Linked DNA regions of Caenorhabditis elegans. The protein of the gene in region 1 interacts with the protein of each later gene in a biochemical or structural test. Each region holds a gene or a part of one and is shown on either strand. Other genes may lie near its edges.

Evidence for each region. The genes of interacting proteins can lie anywhere in the genome.
Region 2: the proteins of cbp-1 (region 1) and prmt-5 form a complex in vitro, tested with the Caenorhabditis elegans proteins (one study listed by BioGRID).
Region 3: the proteins of cbp-1 (region 1) and pop-1 form a complex in vitro, tested with the Caenorhabditis elegans proteins (one study listed by BioGRID).

Annotation. Positions count from the first base shown.
Region 1 is NC_003281.10:9,763,256-9,770,999, reverse strand, and holds the start of cbp-1 (Protein cbp-1), read right to left. Parts: upstream 4,491-7,744; 5' UTR 4,303-4,490; coding exon 4,263-4,302; intron 4,210-4,262; coding exon 4,133-4,209; intron 4,081-4,132; coding exon 3,292-4,080; intron 2,998-3,291; coding exon 2,632-2,997; intron 2,580-2,631; coding exon 2,453-2,579; intron 2,321-2,452; coding exon 2,171-2,320; intron 2,120-2,170; coding exon 1,607-2,119; intron 1,557-1,606; coding exon 1-1,556. UniProt on the Caenorhabditis elegans protein: Acetyltransferase enzyme. Acetylates histones, giving a specific tag for transcriptional activation. May prevent DNA damage-induced apoptosis by inhibiting cep-1-dependent transcription activation of the programmed cell death activator egl-1.
Region 2 is NC_003281.10:5,228,614-5,236,392, reverse strand, and holds prmt-5 (Protein arginine N-methyltransferase 5), read right to left. Parts: upstream 5,839-7,779; 5' UTR 5,815-5,838; coding exon 5,519-5,814; intron 5,470-5,518; coding exon 5,388-5,469; intron 5,295-5,387; coding exon 5,101-5,294; intron 5,020-5,100; coding exon 4,738-5,019; intron 4,694-4,737; coding exon 4,288-4,693; intron 4,011-4,287; coding exon 3,529-4,010; intron 2,910-3,528; coding exon 2,738-2,909; intron 2,514-2,737; coding exon 2,295-2,513; intron 2,247-2,294; coding exon 2,175-2,246; 3' UTR 1,886-2,174; downstream 1-1,885. Other genes in the region: mrps-26 (Small ribosomal subunit protein mS26), read right to left, coding at 716-1,321, 1,614-1,775; atp-2 (ATP synthase subunit beta, mitochondrial), read right to left, coding at 6,158-6,258, 6,307-7,018, 7,066-7,695, 7,745-7,779. UniProt on the Caenorhabditis elegans protein: Catalyzes the symmetrical dimethylation of arginine residues in targets such as small nuclear ribonucleoproteins, histone H2A/H4 and cbp-1.
Region 3 is NC_003279.8:2,825,927-2,831,898, forward strand, and holds the start of pop-1 (Protein pop-1), read right to left. Parts: upstream 4,386-5,972; 5' UTR 4,368-4,385; coding exon 4,193-4,367; intron 2,673-4,192; coding exon 2,554-2,672; intron 1,148-2,553; exon of another isoform or gene 957-1,147; intron 1-956. UniProt on the Caenorhabditis elegans protein: Transcription factor. Part of the Wnt signaling asymmetry pathway. Binds to the consensus sequence, 5'-(C/T)TTTG(A/T)(A/T)(G/C)-3'.

The DNA of each region.
Region 1 (7,744 bases):
CTGTACGTGAAGACCAAAGAAACACACTTCGACTCCATCAATGATCTCGAAGGCAAAAACTGCCTTTGTGCGATAGGGGAACTTTTCAGGGAATTGATTGCTCTCCACGTACTTCTGTTTCATCTGCGCTTTGACTTCTGCTTCTTTATCCTGTACACATAGTGTTCGAATGATGACTGGATACTTGTGAGCTTCTGCTTGTAACTGCTTCTTTATGAAACCGTTGACACGATCTTCGAGGAATGTAGACAGCTTATTATGTGGCAATTTGCTAGCAAGATACTTGTTATCTGGCTTTTGATATTTCTTAGCAGTCCGGCAACATTCGCATATAAATCCTTCTGGATAAACTTTCTTATCATGAAGTGCACATATCCGATGCCATTTCCTCATACAATATTTACATCTCTCGAAAGGCTCATAATCAATAACACTGTTCTTCTGTTCCGTAAACGATGTTTTCGGTGCCATGTTGTTTCGATCGTTGGGATTTTCGGAAAGTGATATTCCTTCAGGAGGAAGAGCATCGAAACATTTCTGACAATAAGTATATCTCTCCGTAACTGTCACATTGTACTGCGTAGAACTTTGTTCGAATACCCAGTATTGCTGTTCTCTGGCTATCGTGCACATTGCTGCACCGTAACAGAACAATGAAAGAGGTGTGAATGCAAGTTTCTTGGCACAACAGTATCCCATACTCTTCATCACTGGATCCATTTCACTCACAAACATTTCCGACAGCTTAAGACCGTATTTGTATACTTTACTGTTCTTTCTGTTATACAGCCAAGCATTGTCAAGCATCAGCCAAATGTCATCACAGAATTGACCAGCGTTTTGATACTGACCCGCATACAATTTCTTGTGAACGGTTTCCAAATCCATTGGGCGCTTGATGATCTCGTGATAATCGGGAATATTTAAAAGTTTTGCATCGACTGGAACTCGGAATGGTGCAGCGTCTTCGGATTTATCTAGCTTCTCCCATACAGGAAGCAAGAATTTTATAAGATCCTCTTGACTGAACACTGTATCTTCAGTTGGTGGCGGGGTAGGTTCTCGCTTTGCTTGTTGCTCTTTAGGTTTCGATTCAGCTACACCATCCTTAGTATCCTTAACTGATGGAGGAGCTTGATTTGAAGACTCTTCAGGATCTTCTTCCTTCTTAACAATTCCGTTCATAATTGGAGCTGGCGTTGATGAGCTCGAGCCACCGAATCCAATAGCCGTTGGTGGTCTTGAACTTAACGAATCTGTATTCTGATCGTCCATGGGTTCAGTTTTCGGTTGCAGCATAGCACTGACAGTAGATGAAGCTCCGATGTTTGGAGTGCTGTTACCACTTGACGGGAATGTCGAAGAATTATTGACCTGTGGAACTTGTCCATTCGGAGGAATCTGCTGATGCATGTTGGAATTCGGAGCACCTCCCCATGGTTGATTTTGTTGACTTGGTGCAACTGCCATACTACTTCCTTCAGAATGAACATCACTACGTCCACCTTCCACACCAAGCATCTGAGCGAGCTCGTTCGACGGTGGAATTGCGTATTCTGAAATGAAAATTGGTTAAAGGGTGAAATTTTAAAAAAAAAAAACTTACGATCATGTGCAGCAGCTCCTTGATTGAGTCTTGAATTCTTTTTCTCTTGAAGCTCTTTTTGTATCTTGTAAATTTTCTCAGCCAACAAATGATAATACTCTTCTCTGTCATTTGCAGATTCAAACATCTCTTTTTCGACTTTTCTGGCATAGGCTATCAAATCTTTTAACCGATTATCATTCATCGCTTCCTGATTCGGTTCCGGGAAAATCGCTTTAACCAATTTTCCGACAAGGTGATTTCTGAGATCTTTTGTGACTTGATGATGCCATTCTTTCGTACAATCTGGCATATCTGGTGGTGGCAAGTTTGGAATTTCTCCATTTCCACCAGGTGGTCTCGGTCCTCCACGATTTGGTCCGTTTTGGAATGGATTGCCATTGAATCCTTCGAATAGAGAATTTGTAATATTTCCAGTTCGCATCGCTGGCGATCCAAACTGATGAAGTCCATCACCTTCTGCGCTTCCGTTCGAATTCCCGTTGACTCCTATTAGATTTGCAAGATCGGGCACTGAAAATAATCAAATATTTAAAAAATGTTCTTGAGTAGGATAGAACGTACATGAAAATTGTAATGGAGTATCTTGTATCCTTTTGAGTGGTTTGCAGACAGGACAATCTTCCCTTGAGCAGTTTTTCCAGTGAGCTATTATTTGGCGAGACGATGCACAATGAGCGACTGAACATTTTTTTGTAGTTTGTGTGGTATCGGCTGAAAGAGATTTCAAACAGTGGCTAGAGTGAAGCGAAATTTTGGGTGGGAATAGGCGCTTCTTCTTGCGAAAATGTTCGAAACTCTTTCCAGATAGAGAAAAAGAAGCGACACGACGGGTAATATACTTACAATGACATAAACGACCAACATTGCAGCTTGTCATGTGTGTCAATACTTCTTTCATCGTTGAGCAATGGGGTAATGTACAGGCAGCATGTGGAGGTGGTTGATTCTTCGCAGCGAAATCACGATTTTCCTGTAAAAGCTGATGATGTATGAAGGAAACCAGAACATACTGTATAACATACCTTCTCACGTTGAGAACATTTGTGTGCATGAAGTAATAGAACAAGTTGTTGCTGAATAAGCTTCCGCTTCTCGGGATCTTGATGCGTTGCAAGCATGCTTGATCCAGGAGTTGTCGCCCTTCCAGCACCATTTCGTTGAGCTGCCGCCGCAGCTTCTTGCTCTCGTTGTTGCTGCTGTTGTTGTTGTGCAGCCGCCTGAGCTTGAGCTTGTGCAGCAGCTTGCTGTTGAGCAGCGTGTTGTGCTGCAGCAGCTTGTGGTCCAGGTTGACCATTTGGAGGACCGTGTGACATTCCTGGATGCCCATTGCTCATCATCATCATTTGATTCGGGCCTCGAATCGGTTGACCATTACTGTCCATCATCATCTGAAATGTAGAAGATTATTGTTATGATTCCAAGCAACTTCCAACCAATATTTGTGGAAGATTAGGGAATTATTGGAAACTTAAGTTTCAATTACACATCGATTTTGATTTGGCCAAATTCACGTCAAGCTAATAAGTGTTCCATTTTTGTTTGATCTTCAAAAATTGTCAGAATCGCACAGTTAAGATCATGCTGATCTTACCAATTTTCTAGGTTAAAAACAAAAAAAATTCCCGCATTTTTTAAAGATCAAACCAAAATGAAATAGAAATCAGGAAATAGTTTCTACTTACCCCTTGATGCATCATTGGATATCCACCGGGACGACCATATTGTTGCATAAATTCTGGTCGCTGCTGACCATATTGTCCGTGTTGCATAAACTGCCGATCAGTCATCATTGGCTGCATCATTGCTTGTTGGTTTGGAGGTATTCCAGGTCTTCCTTGTGTCGGCATTGGTCCACTTCTTGGCATTGCTCCATTCATCATAGCACCACGTCCCATGGGTTGTCCAGGAGTTGGTCCGCCCCGACTAACTCCTGGATATCCTTGAGGCATTCCCTGGGCTCCTGGTGGAGGACCACCTTGTGCGTACGGATATCGATGCATCATTCCTGGGAATTGTTGTCCTTGTGCACCCATCATCATTTGCTGTTGCTGATCTCCTTGGAACATTCCTGGTTGGCCTGGTCGCATTTGTGGTTGGCCTGGGCCTGGTGGTTGTGGACCTCCAGGACTGGGCCCCGGCACTCGACCCATAGATGGAGGTGACATCATATTCGGTGTACCATTTGGCATCATTGGACTCCTATTAAATGCATTTTGCTGTCCAGGCGGATATGCCTGCGGCCGAGGTGAATTGTTCGACGTTTGTGATGGATTCATTAGAAGTTCTTGAAGCACTGATCCATTGACACCTCCTCCCATATTCTGTGGCGGCTGCTGAGGTTGCGACTGTCCTGGTTGTAGATTGAACCCGCCATTGTTTGATGGTGCTGGTTGTGGAGTGCCTTGTGGATGAGGTGTCGAGCCAGAAGGACCACCGGATCCTCCAGCTGATGTGCTTGGATTATTGTCTACCTGAACAACAATTTTTATAAAACAGAGTGTTAATTCAAACAAAAAAACTTACATCTGTATCTTTACTAGAAGTTGGGAATGCTTCGAGACTTTCGAGAGCACTTAGCGCATCTAACCCAGAATCATAGTCTGAAAAGTTTAAAGGATCATACCGTAGCATCTTAACTTTCCTAGCAACTTACCGCTATCAGCGCGAGATTTTTTTGATGGTGGTTCATCCATCAATTAGTAGAAAAATGTATATATTTGACAAAATTCGAACCAAGTGAACTCTTTCTACTTCTCGGAACACCTGAATTGGTTGCGTCCGTCGGTTTTTGAATTCCCACGTCAACCACTACTTCATCAGAGTTCCCGCTTATTTGGGTTAGTTTGGCAAAATCACCAGATATAGCTGTTTGTTTCTGAAAAAAATGAAATGGATATATGGATTTTTGTCGGTGAACGGAGGAGGGAGGAGGAAGAGTGAGAAGAACATCGGTGAAGTAATGAGTGGAGGGTGGTTAGAGAGCGAGAGCACTTATGAAAAGAGGAGGCGAATTGAAGAGAGACAGACAGTGAGAGAGAAGGAGATGGAAAATCAATAGAATGAACGGAGGATGGTTGCACTTTTTAAAGTTTACCTGCACCATTGTATAAGTTGTTTAAGCGTGTAATAATAGAGAAGGAGCGTTTAAATGCTAAAATTGAATTAATAACATCAAATTCCAATGAATGGGTTACTGTAGCTATCATAAATTTAGAGCTTAAAATTGGATTCATAGCCAATTTTGCAAAACTTCGAAAACAAATTTTAATTAGAAACACTATAGTAATATACGGATTAACAAAAAAAAGTTGTTATGCAGTCTTGAGAGATATTTTTAAAAAATACTATGCATAATGAAGAAGGCGGGCATCTATATTGTGAAATTCGGGTATTTTTAAGCATTAAAGGTGTTTGGGACCATTAAAAACATGAATGCTCTAGATACTTACAGGTATATCTAGCTCGATCGATATTTGCTAAGCCAACCTTATGAGGCTAACTTCTCTTTCTCAGATGATCCCGTCGATTCACATGGTACTACTGACCCGATTCTGAACTGTATTTTGACTTAAAAAGTTGCAAAACATTTTCCACGTGACACGTTCAAAAGTTCATGATCGTGAAGAAGCGCAGAACACCGTTCGTCAAAATAACATGGTCAGTGGGAGAGACGACAGACAGCACGAGTCAGCCACCCACGAAGTAGTGTGTATCGGGAGAGAACGCCGACAGCGGGTGCCCCATGCTGTGGGTGTCTCGCAACGAAAACCGCGTTTCGCGAGATACGGTAGAACATTAACCGCACGCGACACGCACGCACACGAAGGAATATGCCATTTGGACAGGCTCCGTTTACAAGCATCTAATGGATCGAGATGAAAGTTTTGATTATAATTTTTGGTGTGATATTGAAGAAAATAACATTATTAACAAAGTTTGAAAGATGAGAGAACGAGAGCGAAACAGATAGATGAATGATGAGGTTGCAAAGATAAAAGTTAAATTTAATAATGAATTTGAGCTACTAGGAGCAAAATACATAGAAAATCGTAGAGCAATAGTATTTAGTAGTTGAATACTGTATATTATCACTTCGTGTAATGCCAGAGTAAGAGCCAGACTTGAAGCTCTGAAAAATCGATAACCACGATTGAGCACTTAATGGTTCAGTTTGTGAGCTCGCATTGAACTCTCATGAGCCGGCAGTGGCTTGAATAGATAGAGAATAATCGAAAGTGTAATGTTCTAAAAGGAAATTATCAAATACCACCGGAGAAGCAAAAAAACTGAGGAGGACGGAAGAGCGGCAGTTCAAAAAGTGCGAGAGGCGGGGCAATAGCCCTCCTCGTCCGACTGTCGATATCACCAAGAGAGGCGGAGCGACAGGGTGGCGGAGGGTGGTAGACTGGCAGTAGTTCTCAGTCATCCCAATAGACTTCTGAAGTTGACGACGATGAAGACTGAGATTCCGGACGACGACGCCGTGCTGCTGTCCTCAAGATTGTAATAGTGTGGCCGAGATGGGGCGGGGCCTCCGTTTCACACTCTATGCGCCCCTCTACTGCTCAGCGCTGGGCGTTCCGTCCGTTTCTCTACGCTCTCGTTTCCTTATCTTTCGGTATCGAAGGTGCAATTAAGGATCCGAATATACAGTAATTCATGATTCTTACGATAATGCGCATGATTGAACTGTTCTTAAACATAAAGTGTGGGAATAGCTAGACGTGTTGAGTATATTATATGTGAATGAATACGAATATTTCTAGAATAGAAAAATCTACAATCGGTCATGTTCGTTGGAAGCAGAATTCCAACAGGGTCCTAAACTGAAAACCAAAAATGATATGAATAAACATAGTATCTAGTTAGAAGGAAACATTGATTACTGTACCGGTAACTTACAAAAGACATAGCAGCAGAGTAGCTTTTTGAACTAGAAAAAATATCGATCTGAAAGTATTTCAGACTACTGTTCAGCTAAATACTTTATTGAAAATTTTCTGTAGAGAAGTTTTATCCAGCTCATTTTTTAAGAAAAAAAATCTAAAATTATTCTCGATTTTATGTGAAAATTTTCAGCGTTCTTACAAAAAAGCTTCCATTGTGTTTTCCTACCACTTAAACCACCAAAAGTTTGCAAAATTAGCATTTGAGCAATTTCACGGGTCAGCCGGACACCGAAAAGCAGTGAAAAATTCAAGTCAAAATTTAAAATCGGTTTTTTAGATCAAAGTGTTCCTCTGTTGCTAAATTTTTTGTAGTGGCCTATGAAAGTCAAGTTGAAATACTTTTCATGTAAGCAAATACTACTGGAAGGTTAAATGTAAGCAATTTTAATACATATATGAGGAATTTTAATGCAATCTTTGATGATTTCTCAATCAAAAAAGAAGGTGTTTGAATGACCTTAGATGAAGCTCAACACTGAATATTAGGACGTATTTCTGAAAATTTCTAAATACCTATCCGAGATCGAGAATCTAGATGATGGATTAGGGTCTACTACAACTATACAGGCAGAAATGACAATTTTATTATATTATGGTACTGAAATATTTATTCAGTCGACTTTACCAGCTTGCAGAAAATTCAACTTTTGTAATATCAACAGGGAAAATATGAAATGTTTAAGTTTAATCAAAATGAAAACTACAAGGAATTGGAAATTCTGGAATATGCACTCGAGCCTACCATTCAAAACGCGATCGACGATTATAATATTGATTGAAAACTCAAAAAATTCTCATTAGAGCGAAGACAGCTGATTCGAAATAAAGTGAAATTCTACAGTACTCTGGAACGGAAAGGGATATGATCCAAATGAACTTTTTTTTTTAATTTAGTCGAACGGTTTTCTGTTCACCATGTAAAATGGAGAAGAAATAATGGAGTTTTAGAAATAAAATTTCAAATTTCAGTGTTTTTTCCGGATTCTGATGTCCAAACGGACCTATAAGATACGGGAAAGTAAAATGGTGAGGTAATTTGAAGAAATATACATAAATTTTAGAAATTAGTTTTAGTTTAGGAGGTTATTCGTAAAAATTGCATTGGTCAGGTCTTTCAGGTTAGGTTTATTATAGTACAATGTTATAACAGAAAAGGTAGATATGAGAGAGAAATGTAAGAATTTAA
Region 2 (7,779 bases), 4.5 Mb from region 1:
TAGACAGTCAAATTAAAGAAAGTAAAATGAAACGATTGTAGATTTATGAAAAAAATCAAAAACTTATAACAGCAAAAGTCTATCTAAAGGGAAAATGTCTAGAAAACTGGAATTTGAAACAGAGAAAAAGAAAACAAAAATTGATATAATTTGTATAAACTCAAAAAGGGAAATAGAATACAAAAAAAAATAATGAGAAAGAGAGAACAAGAGACGGAGACAGAGAACAGTTATCTTATAGTGTTATCATCCGAATTAGGAAGAAATGTGTGTAGACTACAATGTTGTCCCTTTTGGGAAGAATGATGATGACCAGTTGGGGAAATGGCAAATCTGAAATAAAAAAAGTAAATTATTAGGTAAACGAAAATATTGATTACAGAAAATATTTAAAAGTGTAACACTTTTCCAATTATTTCATATTTTTTTCTCACAAACTACAAGTTTATATTGAACATGGATGTCGTCGAAAAATTTTCGATTTTCGAACTGAAAAATTGAAATTCGTAAAACTGGAAAAAATTGTAAGGAAATATAGTAGTCTAGTCTATAGACTTATCAAAAAAAGTTGATTTTTATGTAGAGAAATTACCAGAGATGAAAATTTCATTTCTTCAAAAAATTCAAAAATTTGAAAACAAAAATATTACTACATTAGAAGATTTTTTTATTATTTTTATTTTTCGATGTTCAAAAATAACTCACATCATGTCCTCTAAACACTTTTCTGTTGTATCTTATTAGCTTCTTCGATAGTTCCATGTTGTGTACCCAATGTCTGATCATACAATCGTCCTTTTTGTCGAGTTGGTGTTCCTTCTTGATATTTAACTGGTTCAGGTACGAAATACTTGTTCCCAGCCCGATCAATTGCAAAATCGTAAATTGTTGGCTTTTCGAGTGCTTCGAGAATTTTAGTTTCAAGATTTGAACGAGTAATGAATTCACTTGAACGAGAAATTGCATTTTTAACTTCATCTTCTGCCTGCTTTTTGCCTGCATTTCTTTTCTCCAATTCAACTCGAATTTCTTCCAAAATTACAGATTTTGTTTCCTTCGCATCTTCGGCTTCTCGTTCTTTACGTGCCGCCCGTTTTTCTTCATTCCGCTTCTCATTTTGAGCAATTAATTCGTCTAATTCAAGTGCTTCTGCTTCTTTCATTGCTTCGATACCCTGACCATGAGATGCATTTTGAGCAAGTTCTGCACGGAATACTTCTCGAAGTGAAATAACTGCATTGTTGTATGCATGACGACGCCAGAGGAGCTCCTCGACATCTTCTGGTTTCTGCCATGGAGCATGCACAACGTGGTAGAGAACCTGAATTTTGTGAATTTATAGATAAGAGTAACAAAATTTAAAACTGTTAAAAATTTATAGAATTCTTCTAAATTTTTCAATAAAAAGTTGCACGTTTTTTTGTTGCAAGACTGAAAAAACCCATTTTTAAGGAGTTAGAAAAATACTGTAAATTTTCTAACAGTTATATTCGGTATATTGAGACATTTTCTGTCATTTTGGGAAAAAGCCCCGCTGGCGCATTTTTTTCGGCAAAAATTGGATTTTTTTATGTTCCAATTTTTGTTCTAGTGAAAAAATCAATAGAACTCACTTTCTTCGATGGAGGCAAAATTGGTGGTTTTCCCTGCTTTGGTTGCCGTCGTCCCATTTGTCTCTTCTGTACTCCGAATACTTCGTCCATTTGTGACATGGCAGATGCCAAAAGACATCGTCCCGTTGAAGAAATTGATAAACGAGAACTGTTTATCAACATTCTGAAAATATTTTTAAATGAAAAATAATTGGGAAAACTTTAAAATCTCTATAAAAATATGTTTTAGTATGAAAACTAATAACTATAATTCAAAATTACAAAAAAACAACAGAATAAAACAAGCTCTTTAATTCGGAAAATTAACGGAAACTTAAAAACTGAATTTTTAAACAATTAATATCGAATTAAAAGGAGCAACAATCGAATCGCGATAGATACCGGAGCAAAAAAGAATCTTCAAATTAATGAACCGGAAAATGGGCAACAGGAAATGGGAAAACCAACGGAAAAAATTCTAGGAATGATTGGGAAATTCAATAGGGGCGCAAAAGTGAATAACACATCAACAATTAGGATTAAAACAGGAAAATAATAATTATAAAAGCGAAAAACTAGGCACTACATTCTCATGTAATAGCTCTCTCCATTTGGATTCTGGATCGGGGTGCTCACAGATTCGCCATTGGTTTTCTGGAAAAAACTCAACTATAATCTTAATAAGTTATCAAAAACTGTTACCTTTTTTTCAACATGCCATTCGTACCACACACCAGTATTGTCAACTTTTCGATCGATTTTCAGAGAAATTCTGTCACCTTCTCCAACTCTCAATTGATCTCTAAGTGGAATAACAGCTGGGAACCAACTGACCATTCCAGGTGTATGAGTTGATGGTTCAATTGAAAGCATCACGGTTTTGTAGAGTTGAAGATCAAAGTAGCCGGCGAATCCCATCAGCTGAAATAAATTAGGTTCTAACTTATTTGATTTTTAATTTAATAAACACATATTTTATCAATAAAATTTTTCAATTCATTGTTTTATTTTCAAAGGTGGACTGTCATTTGTGCGAATTTTGCATTTAATATAAGCAAATTACCTCAAATAATCAACGAAAAAATATTTTTAAATTTTCTTAAGAATTTCTAAGTTTTTTTTTTTTTTTTTGCTGAAAAACTTACATCTGCATTTCTATCCATAACAAATTCAATAGAATCGCTTCTCTCATTGCTTGAATTCATGAAATTTGGATGTTCAAATGTGAATACTGGTTTGGTGGTTTCGGCAAGTGGAATGTATTTTGAAAGATATACAACGTAGATTTGATCCATATTGTTACGAACATGTCCTTGTCTGAAAGAAAATGTTTATTAAAATTTAAAAAAAAAGTTTTTATGCTTTTTTTTTAATTAAAAATTATTCTAAAATAAGAGTAAATTGAAGCATAACTTGTGGAGCGGATACTCCCGTCAAGAAAAGATGGCCTAGAAACCTCCGTGTACTCGGCCAGGGCCTTTATGTACACAAGAGTAGAAAACTTCAGAAATATTTATTACCACAACATGAATTTTAGCGATACTTTTTCTAATATTACGGTACCCGGTATCTACACGATAAATATTCGTTAATACGAAACTTTTTGTACCTTTGAAGAGTACTGTAATTTCAATATCCCATGATTTTTCATAGTTTTTTAAATAAAAATCAATATCAATTTATCAAAACTAAACTAAAATAATAAAATGCCAACCAAAAAAAACTATAAAAAATTAATAAAAACTCTGCAGCAACAAGTCTTAGATTACAGTATAGTTTAAAGGTGCACACGTTTTCGCATATAACAAAGATTTTTGTTTGAATTTTTTTTTTAATTTTAAAAATTTTGTCTAATCGAGACCGGGACTAGCAAAATTTGGCATCGGGGTAATAAGGCAGAATGTTTATATTTTTATAAAAAAATTGAAAAACAAACGGGTATTTTTGAATCCACATTTCGTCTTCATCCAATTCCGGTTCACCTCTACCATGCGATGGAATTGCACGACTCAAATAAGGAATACTTTGAGCTTTAATTGTTTGATGAATATGAGTACTCATTATTGGCTTCACATAGCTAGTGTACTTCTGTGGAATTGAAATTGTTGTTGGCTTCAAAAATCCAGTGACACCATCTAGACATTCAGGACTCAACTCGTTATCTCCAAAACTTCCAAGAAGTTCCGAAACAATTATGTCAGGTTGTTCGAATCCACGATCTTTCGCAATTCCCGGCAGACTTCGCATATCACTTTCAATAATCGTTACTCGTCGTTTCCATGTTCTCACATTCATATATTTCAGAGTGACGATTGCATTTGGATTCTTTTCAACAATATAAAGCTTCACTTTGAGACTTTCTTGGCCTTGTCGGAATGTGTTGTTGTATTCTCTTTCAGATTTCAGAATTTTCGTTCCCTGAAAAAAATTGAAATTTATAATATTTAAAACTATGGAGACGCATAAAAATGCCCGTTTTGATATTCATTTAGACCGAAAAACTGTAAATTGAAAAATGTTGCAGTTCGCTTCAGACAATTGGCAAAATTAACTGCAAAATGTTTGAATTTCCGGCTTGTCGCCAACTTCCAAACGAGACCCATGGTCAGGGGGTGGAGTGTTTTCAATTGGCCACAAAATATGTTTTCATGTCGAATTAAAAGGGACTTTTTCTACTTAATAGCCAAAAACTCACAATAGGACCACGTCCTCCTCCCAACAAGTAAATGACAACAGTTTTTCTTCCGTCAGCTCCAAGATCTTTTAATGCTCCAACTACAGCTTCTCCATACACGTCGTATTTAATTTGATCCTGCTCGAATGTATTATAAACTCCTGAATCCAAATTTTCAGACAATGGTTGAAGAGGTGCTTGCAAAACATCTTTGTATTCGATAACATTAAGATAATGAGTGGAGTCATTCGATCCTTCTCCAACATCAGGACGACTTCGGTAATTAACATTTCGAACTGCATGACGAAGAGCTTGAGAATACTCGGATTTGATAGAAGTATTGTACTTGAATGTATCCGTTGTGGCACGAAGAACGATCCGAAGTGCATCAGTTGTCCATAGATGTTTTAATAAATTTATGTGGGCACTGAAAAATTAGTATTTATTTGAAAATGTAATCTTGAAATTTACCTTGGAATTGATGCTTCTCCATTTCTTCCAGAAATAAAAAGACCCGATTCGATAACAAAAGCTGCTAGGGGCTCGGCCTTCCAACGGTCCACAAGTTTAAGCTCAGTAAGCTCATCGGGAAGTTCCGAAGAGATCGTCAAAGCCACTTGGAAATAAACACCACTGAAATTACCACAATTCTTCCGGAAATCGGCCCAAATTGTCCATAAATCAACATGTTCTATTGTGAAAGCGTCATAATCTTTGCACTTTTCAATTGCAGACGGAAGTTGAACCCAAACACTGAAAATAAATATAAACTTTGCTTTTTTAAAAAATATTTTACTGAAAAAAAGGAGCTATTTCATATTGCATTTTACTTACGTAAAACGCGAATTTCTAGTCCAAATCCATTTTTTCAAAATGGCAGCAGTACGAGGCGACGAGATGCGTGTGAGCTCGATTGCCATCGTTTGAAGACCCAAATAACAAATGTAGCTGAGCTCTTTCAGAAGATGTTCCTCGGAAAGCGAGGCAAAGGCTGGATCAGAAGAGTCACAGTCGATCCATGGAGAAATCTTGAAAAAAATGACAATTTCAGGTTTTAATTTAAGAATAAAGGGCTTGTTCTTCGAAAAAGTAATTAAAATTAAAAAAAAAACCCCCCATACTTTTCCTACAACATAGCTTTCCCAGAGATCATTTCTCAGCTGAACATCGGGCAAATCAATAACAGGTGGATGATTCTCCGCGCTGAAAATTAGTAGTCTAGTTGAAGTTGGGTAAGATAGTCGATGTGAACCTTCCATTAGGCGTCCAGAATGCGCGAACGACCCCTCCAATCGGGTAGACGACAAAGTTATACTTGAACTCTCCCAGTCGTGTACAGAAAGTAGCAACATGACGGTCTAGATTCTCGGCAACGTCCAAGGTTGTGGCCATCCATCCGATGTGTATTCTAGAGTTCGCTGCCTCAACAGAGCTTATACTTCTGCTGGGAGAATTACTTTTGGGCGAAGAACCAGAAGACATCTGTTCCTCATGCTGCTCCGCGACCTGTTGTGGAAACAGATTATCGGCATACGTTCTGTTACTCATTCGTTTAACCTGAAATTTGACGATCAACAAACTCGCAGTTTTATCATCGGCTTTCTGTTTATTTCTGATAAAAATATACTAGAAGTCAAATGAACTTGGGGTGTGAAAAAAATAATGTTTTTGCTTTATTTTTGTTGCCTTTTAGGGCATTTGGGTTGGTAGTTGAATTCGAAGAAGGGAGAGTGAGAGATGGAAAACAACGTATTGGGAGTCACCAAATAGTGGTCTGACGGAAACAGCACTACCGCAACAATACAATAAACTATACATTAAATTTATCTCTACCAAAAAACATTGAAAAAAAGAAAAACGAAGTGTCGGCGTTATAACAAAAAAAATAAAACTAATTTCCGTGTTGCTTGGCGAGTTCTTCGGCCTTCTTGAACACATCATCGATTCCTCCTTGCATGTAGAAAGCAACTTCTGGAAGGTGGTCGAGTTCTCCTGAAAATTGATTTAATTTTAATGTTTTCAACGTTTAAATATTCTTACCCTTGAGAATCATGGTGAAACCGCGGATTGTCTCTTCGAGTGATACGAACTTTCCTTGATGTCCAGTGAACACCTCAGCGACTTGGAATGGTTGGGAAAGGAAACGTTGGATCTTGCGGGCACGTGAAACGGTAAGCTTGTCTTCCTCGGACAACTCATCCATACCAAGAATAGCAATAATATCTTGGAGGGACTTGTAATCTTGGAGGATCTTTTGAACTCCACGAGCAATGTCGTAGTGGTTCTGTCCGACAACGTTGGGGTCCATGATACGGGAGGTGGAGTCAAGTGGATCGACAGCTGGGTAGATAGCCAATTCGGCAATACCACGGGACAAGACAGTGGTGGCGTCCAAGTGAGCGAATGTGGTAGCTGGAGCTGGATCAGTCAAATCGTCAGCAGGTACGTAAATAGCCTGGACGGATGTGATGGATCCCTTCTTGGTGGTGGTAATTCTCTCTTGCATACTTCCCATGTCAGTGGCAAGGGTTGGTTGGTATCCGACAGCGGATGGGATACGTCCGAGAAGAGCGGACACTTCAGATCCAGCCTGGGTGAAACGGAAAATGTTGTCAATGAAAAGAAGCACATCTTGTCCTTCCTGGTCACGGAAGTACTCGGCGACAGTGAGACCGGTGAGGCACACACGAGCACGGGCACCTGGTGGCTCGTTCATTTGTCCGTATACGAGAGATACCTTGGAGTTCTTTCCCTATAAATTGTTTATTTAAATACCATGAACCATTTTTTCCTACTAACCTTGAGATCAATGACTCCTCCTTCAATCATTTCGTGGTAGAGATCGTTTCCTTCACGGGTACGCTCTCCGACTCCAGCGAACACAGAGTAACCTCCGTGAGCCTTGGCGACGTTGTTAATGAGCTCCATGATAAGCACAGTCTTTCCGACTCCAGCTCCTCCGAAAAGTCCAATCTTTCCTCCCTTGGCGTATGGGGCAAGAAGATCGACGACCTTGATTCCGGTAACAAGAATCTCCTGCTCGACGGACATTTCGACGAATTCTGGAGCTTCAGCGTGGATAGCAGCGAAGTTCTTGGATGCAATTGGACCTCTCTCGTCAATTGGCTCTCCAATGACGTTCATGATACGGCCAAGAGTTTCTGGTCCGACTGGGATCTTAATCGGATCTCCGGTGTCAGCAACTGGCTGTCCACGGACAAGTCCTTCAGTTCCGTCCATAGCAATACATCTGACGACATTGTCTCCGAGATGTTGAGAGACCTCAAGAATGAGTCTTGGGGAACGTCCGACTACCTCGAGACCGTTGAGGATTGGTGGAAGGTTCTCATCGAACTGGACGTCGACGACGGCTCCGATGACAGCGACAATGCGTCCGGAAGCGTTAGCAGCTGTAGCCTTGGCAGAGACCTTAAAACCAGAATTGAATTGAATTTATCTGACTAAAAAAAATACAAACCTTGGTGGCAGCGGCAGCTTGCTGGGTGGCAACAC
Region 3 (5,972 bases), on another chromosome or scaffold:
TGTTTTGCAAGTCTCGTTCGCAGCTCATTAGAGTATCTGTGTTATCACTAGTTGCTCACAGAGCACAAAACAGTCACTTGAGATGTGGAGGGGCTTAAGTCGAAATGGAATAGATACGGATCAGATTTTCCGATTGTTGCCTCAAAGTTTTTTTTCAAATTTATTTATATATAAATATTTGTACTCTCTGAGAGCAACTTTACATTCAATTGAAAGTTTCAAAAACTCGAATTATTCGAAAATACCTAAAAGTAAAACGGTAATTGGTCTCAAAGCGACCGACTTTTTGAATCTCAAAAGACCGTGTGCCCTTAAGGAGTACTGTAGTTTTCAAGATTTGCCGCACAGCTCTGAAAGGTACGGTAGTCATTCAGTTTCCACGAAATCTACTAAAGAGTTCGAATTCGTCAGTGAAAACTCAAATGTTTGAGTAGATTGGTGTATTTAGTCACTTGTCTACAGTACCCCTAACGAGAAGGAGTTGAAAAAAATGTAGAGGGGATAAAATATGGCAATTTTCGCGCCAAAACTACAGTACCCGATCTCGAAGCGAAGTTAAATTCAAACAAACTTGCGCGCCTTTAAGAAGTACTGTAGTTCCTTTAGTTTTTGCTACAAAAACCGAATGGAAAATCGTTCCTAATTTTTCAGAAAACCTTGGCTCAACCTGTGCATGTGGTGTCAGGCTGCCCCTTCACGGTTTGATCTACAAAAAATGCGGGAATTTTTCACCCAAAAATATGTGACGTCAACAGGTTCTTAACCATGCGAAATCAGTTGAGAGCTCTGCGTCTCTTCTCCCGCCTATTTTGTAGATCTACGTAGATCAAGTCGAAATGAGACACTTTGACACCACGTGTCTGTGTACAGTACCCCGAGAAGATAGGCCTAGTAGGTAGGTACGGTAATCATTCAGATCCCCGCTAGCTCTCAACAAATTCAAAAAACAAGTGTCAATTCTCTACAGGAAGTGGCACCAATCATGTTCCGGAAGCAATTAGAGCTCTCTCACACTTGTTCTGGTGTGGGGTCATCATCATTTTGTAATGAATGAATACGAACACACACACACCTTTTGAACCTATTGTTTTCCGCGTCTTTTTGTCTGTAGAAAAAAGGTGTCCAAACATGTGTGTGTGGGGGGGGGGGGGGCCCAGAGGTGTCTAATTGTCTATTGTATCCGTGTCTCGGGTACCAGCAACCATAATTACCACCACCATCGAGACCCCCCAAAGTGACGCAAAAGGAAATAATTTCGGCTCTTGACATGATGTTCAACAATTCAAAAGAAATTTTTGGTGTTTTTTCGCCAATAGTTTTTCGAGAAAAACAAATTGCCAAAAAACACGCAATTTTTTGGGAGTTAATGAGGCTTCTCCAACAAAAAAGAAGAAAAAACTGTTTTCGAGGAAATGCAACGAGTTTTTGGATTCAGAAGATAATAGATTCAGTTTTTCGGTGAAAATTTTGTAGAATTTCTCACGAATTTTTGGCTTCCCTCATAAAATGAAATGGAAGAGTTTTTGCCGAACTAGGTCATTTTGGCTCAGTAGATTTACGGCGCGTTGCGTGTCGCGTCGCGGCTCGATTTTAGTTGTAAAACTAAATGCACTTGTCCGTGTGGAGTACACGACTATCCCAGTCCGGCGGGCGATTGTCAATGGAGCGCGAAAAATTCAATGAGGAAGGCCAGAACCCCATGGCGGAAAGCCAAGAATTTTTGGATTTGGAAGACAATAAATTCAGTTTTTTAGTGGAAATTTTGTATTATTTCTGCTTTTTGGGGAAGAAAATTGTAGGAAGAATAAAAAATTAATACGGTTTTTTTTCTACAAAAATGGAGAAAAGCCCTAAAAATTCTTGAAATTGGGTAAAAATTTGAATTTTTTTTTTTTGGAATTTCTGCTTTTTTGGGGAAGAAATTGTTGGAAAAATGATTTTTAATAGGATTTTAAAGCAATTTTTTGCAAATTTCGACGATTTTTGATTCAAATTGAAGAATAAGCTCAAAAATACACAATTTTCCATATTTTTCAATAAAGCTTTCGATTTTAGGGTGTTTTTTCGCTTTTTTTAAATAATTTTTGGTGTAAATTCTTAAATTCCAAAAATATAGAGGCTCTCGAACCCTTTAAAAATTCAAAATACATAATTTTTCCCATTTCTTAGGCAATTTCTGGGCAAAATATTGAAATTGCAACTTTTAAAAGTATTTCTAATGCCTAGACTACATAATTTTTCTAATAAAATAGGGGGAATTGTCATAAAAAGGATTTTAAAGCGATTTTTCGTCGATTTTTGGGGGAAATCTTGAAATTTCAACTTTATAAGGTATTTATAACATATTCGAGGCCTAATATTCACCTTTGTTTTCAGATTTTTCAGTGAAAACTTCCAATTAAAGCCGATTTTTTGCCAATTTCGGTAATTTTTCGTTCAGAAGTATTTAACTTGTTAACTCTAAAATACAATTTTAAGTCGATTTTTGTCGATTTTCGCCAATTTTTATGTGTTTTAATTCAAATTTTTTCAATTTTCCAAGTAAAAAATCACCATAAATAGAGGCATAAACATGGGTAAAGCAGCTGCCGAGTATCCAGGACTGAAGTGTGACATTAAACCGGGAAACGATGGTGACATTGGTTCGACTTTTGGAAATGCACTTTTTAACACTGAAAATTTGATAATTATTCGGTTAGAATGGTTAAAAAAGAGCCAAATTTTTGATTTTCAACCGATTTTTTGGCAAATTTCACAATTTTTAGTCAAAATTCTTTAAAATCCAATTTTATAGGGTTAAAGATTTCATTTTTCCAGATTTTTTCATGAAAACTCCGATTTTAAAGAGATTTTTCGGTAATTTTCACAATTTTTAGTTAAAATTCTTCAAAACTCAATTTTATAGGGTTAATTATCTCATTTTTCCTTCAAAATTTCGATTTTTGAAAGCGATTTTTCGCAAATTTTCACAATTTTCAGTTAAAAATATTTTAAAATTCAACTTTTATAGTGATATCCGAGTTCAAAACCTCTCATTTTTTAGATTTTTCAATTGAAAATTCGATTTTAAAGCGATTTTTCGTAAAATTTTAAAAGGAATTTCTAGCACCTCTAAAGGCCTGAAATACATAATTTTTTAGATTTTTCCATTCACAGATCTCAAAAAAGGTCAATTTTTGGCGCCAAGTTCAAATTTCTCAGATCAATTTTGAATATTATCCAATTCTTAATCCTTTCGCACCCCTATACAGTCTATTGAGCACACACAGACGGACCAACTTGTTCAAGTACTCACGACGGATTAGCACACAAGATAACGGACCGAGATAGTATGGGATTCGGAGAGACGCAGATGGTGTTCGAACACCGTTGCGTAACATCCTTTTACGTCATTATGTCATTGCGTAAGGCCCGGGACCATCAGGTCAATTCTTAGGGGTGTTTTGAAATTAGCATGGATTTTTTTAATAGAAAATAGTGAAAACCGGAAAAAAAATTGGTTAAAAATGAGTAAATTTCATTTATAAAGTGTTAGAAATACTTTAAAATATAAAAAATGGCGAAAAATCGCTTTAAAATTGGTTGAAATTCAAAATAACACTGAAAATACTCAAATTTGTCAAAAAAAAATATTTTAGCGATTTTTAATTAATTTAAATTCCCGCGCTTTTGTCTCGATTTTGAACTCCGCCCATAAAACCGTGCCGCACTTTTGCACTTTTTAATTTCAACGTAAAGTCCAATTTTTGGGTTGTTTTTCTAGCTTTTAATGAATTTTTCGGCGATTTTTAAAACCTTTTTCTCCATTTAAAAACTGAAAAAAAACCCCCAAAATATGGATTTACGCTGAATTTGAAAAAAAAACAAAGTGCGGCACGGTTCTATGGGCGGAGTTTAGACAAAAAATGCGGGAATTTAAATAAGGTTTTTTTTTCAAATTTAATGATTTTTTTCTCTTTTTTTGGGATCAGTCTTAGCATTTAAAGTTTTTATTTAAATTATTTAAATTTAAATTTATATGTATTTTTTTAATATTTAATGTCCCTTTTTCCTGCAGAAATTTAGAAATTTAGAAGAATTTTCAAATATTTTTTTTGTGTAATAAAGTCGAAAGGCAATTGAGGTGGTCCATAAAATTTTGTGTGATAGCTGGCCACCTTCCCCTTTCGATCAAATTTATTGGAAAACTCACCATCAATCGATGGATTTCGACCGGCACCGTCTAATTCTGCTTCCATTACAGCTTCTTTTTTATCATCGGCTAACTGTTGTTCTGACGTTTCACCACTAATCATTGGATCATCGTCAGCATCCTCATCCCGACGGAACACCTTCACCTCATCGCCGAGCTCTTCGTCGGCCATCATTTTTGTGTATTTTTATATCTGGAAATTTAGAGCATTTTTTAACGATTTTAATGGGAAATTGACGGAAAAATGGAGGGAAAAGAAGCACGGAACCATTTAAAACAAGAAAAAAGGGGGACTAGGTCCGCGGAAGTTAGGCCATGGAGAGGGGAAAGACGCGGGAAATTTGAATTCGATAGGATTTTGGGGAGAAAGTGGAGGTTTAGACTTCTAAAATTGGAAAATGTTGAATTTTTATTGAATTAGAGATAAATTTTGACGACAAAATCGAAATTTTAGATGAAAAACTCAAGAAAAATCAGCAAAAACGGTGAAATTTGTTTTAATTTTAATTTAAAAAATACTTTTGTCCACCGTAACTTTTAAAGGCGCATGCCGCTTATTTTGGTGTGGGTCTCGACACGAATTTCGAACAAAATTACTTTTCTTTGCTTAAAAATGTCGAATTTGAGCTGTTTCGTTGAAAAAATAATTTGAAACGAGGAAATTTCGATGTGAAATATCTAGAAATTGATCGAAAACTTCGAAATTTGTTCAAAATTAAATTTTCAAGTATTTTTGTCTACCGTAACCTTTAAAGGCGCGTGCCATGTATTTCAATGTGGGTACCACCGCGAATAACAATATTTTTCGGCTTATTAATTTGTAATTTGAGTTTTTAAAAATAAAATCATAAATTTTAAACAAGGGAATTCCGAACAAAAAGGAGAAAATCATCAAAAATCTTTAAATTTGTTTAAAATTCGCATTTTTCGACATTTTTGTAAATATACCGTAGTCTTTAAAGGCGCATGCCATGTTTTTTGGCATGGGTGACACCACGATCAGACTTTAAATACCTTAAAATTACCTATTTTTGACGTAGAAAATTACTTTTTTGCTTATAAATCCGAAACGCGGGAATTTTAAATTAAAGAGCAGGAATCGATACGGTGAACAAAACACATCTGTCATTGGCAACAGATGGCCTAGCCGAAAACTAGGCCGCTACTCGCTCTACAAAATTCAAAAAGAATGACGGGAAAAAAAAGCGAAAAATGTTCGAATGAAGAAGTTCCTCCAATTATAAAATGCAAATAAACGTAGAACCCAGCAGGAGGTAGGAGGGAGGATAGTGGAACGAGGAAAACGAGGCGAAAAGGATCCATAAAATTCAAATAAATGACGGACCGGGGGACGTGAGAAGAAGGGGGGAAGAAGACAAGAGGCGGTTGGTGGTGGTGTATGCGCGCGCTGTCGGTAGTGCACCATGGCCCCCCGCTACACCAATTTCTCTGCGTCTCTCGCTTTCATCGCTCATCAAGGGGCCGCCCATGCTAAATGGTGTGTGAGAAGGCCCTGTGTGTGTGCGCAGGTGGCCGACAATAATAGCTGTAGAAGAGGTTAAAAGAGAGCATGGAACTTGAAGAGAGTGGAGGTTGAGTGAGAAAAAATAAAAATCAGATTGTCCTGAAAAAAACCATTTAAAAATTGATAAGAAGTGATTTTTGTGGGCATCGGTAATCGGTAACCCGGGGCGTCAATATATATTTTTTATCGAAGTGTTCATTTTCTTCGTTGTAACTCACCGGGAAAACCGTGAGAATTGGCGGAGAGATAGAGACA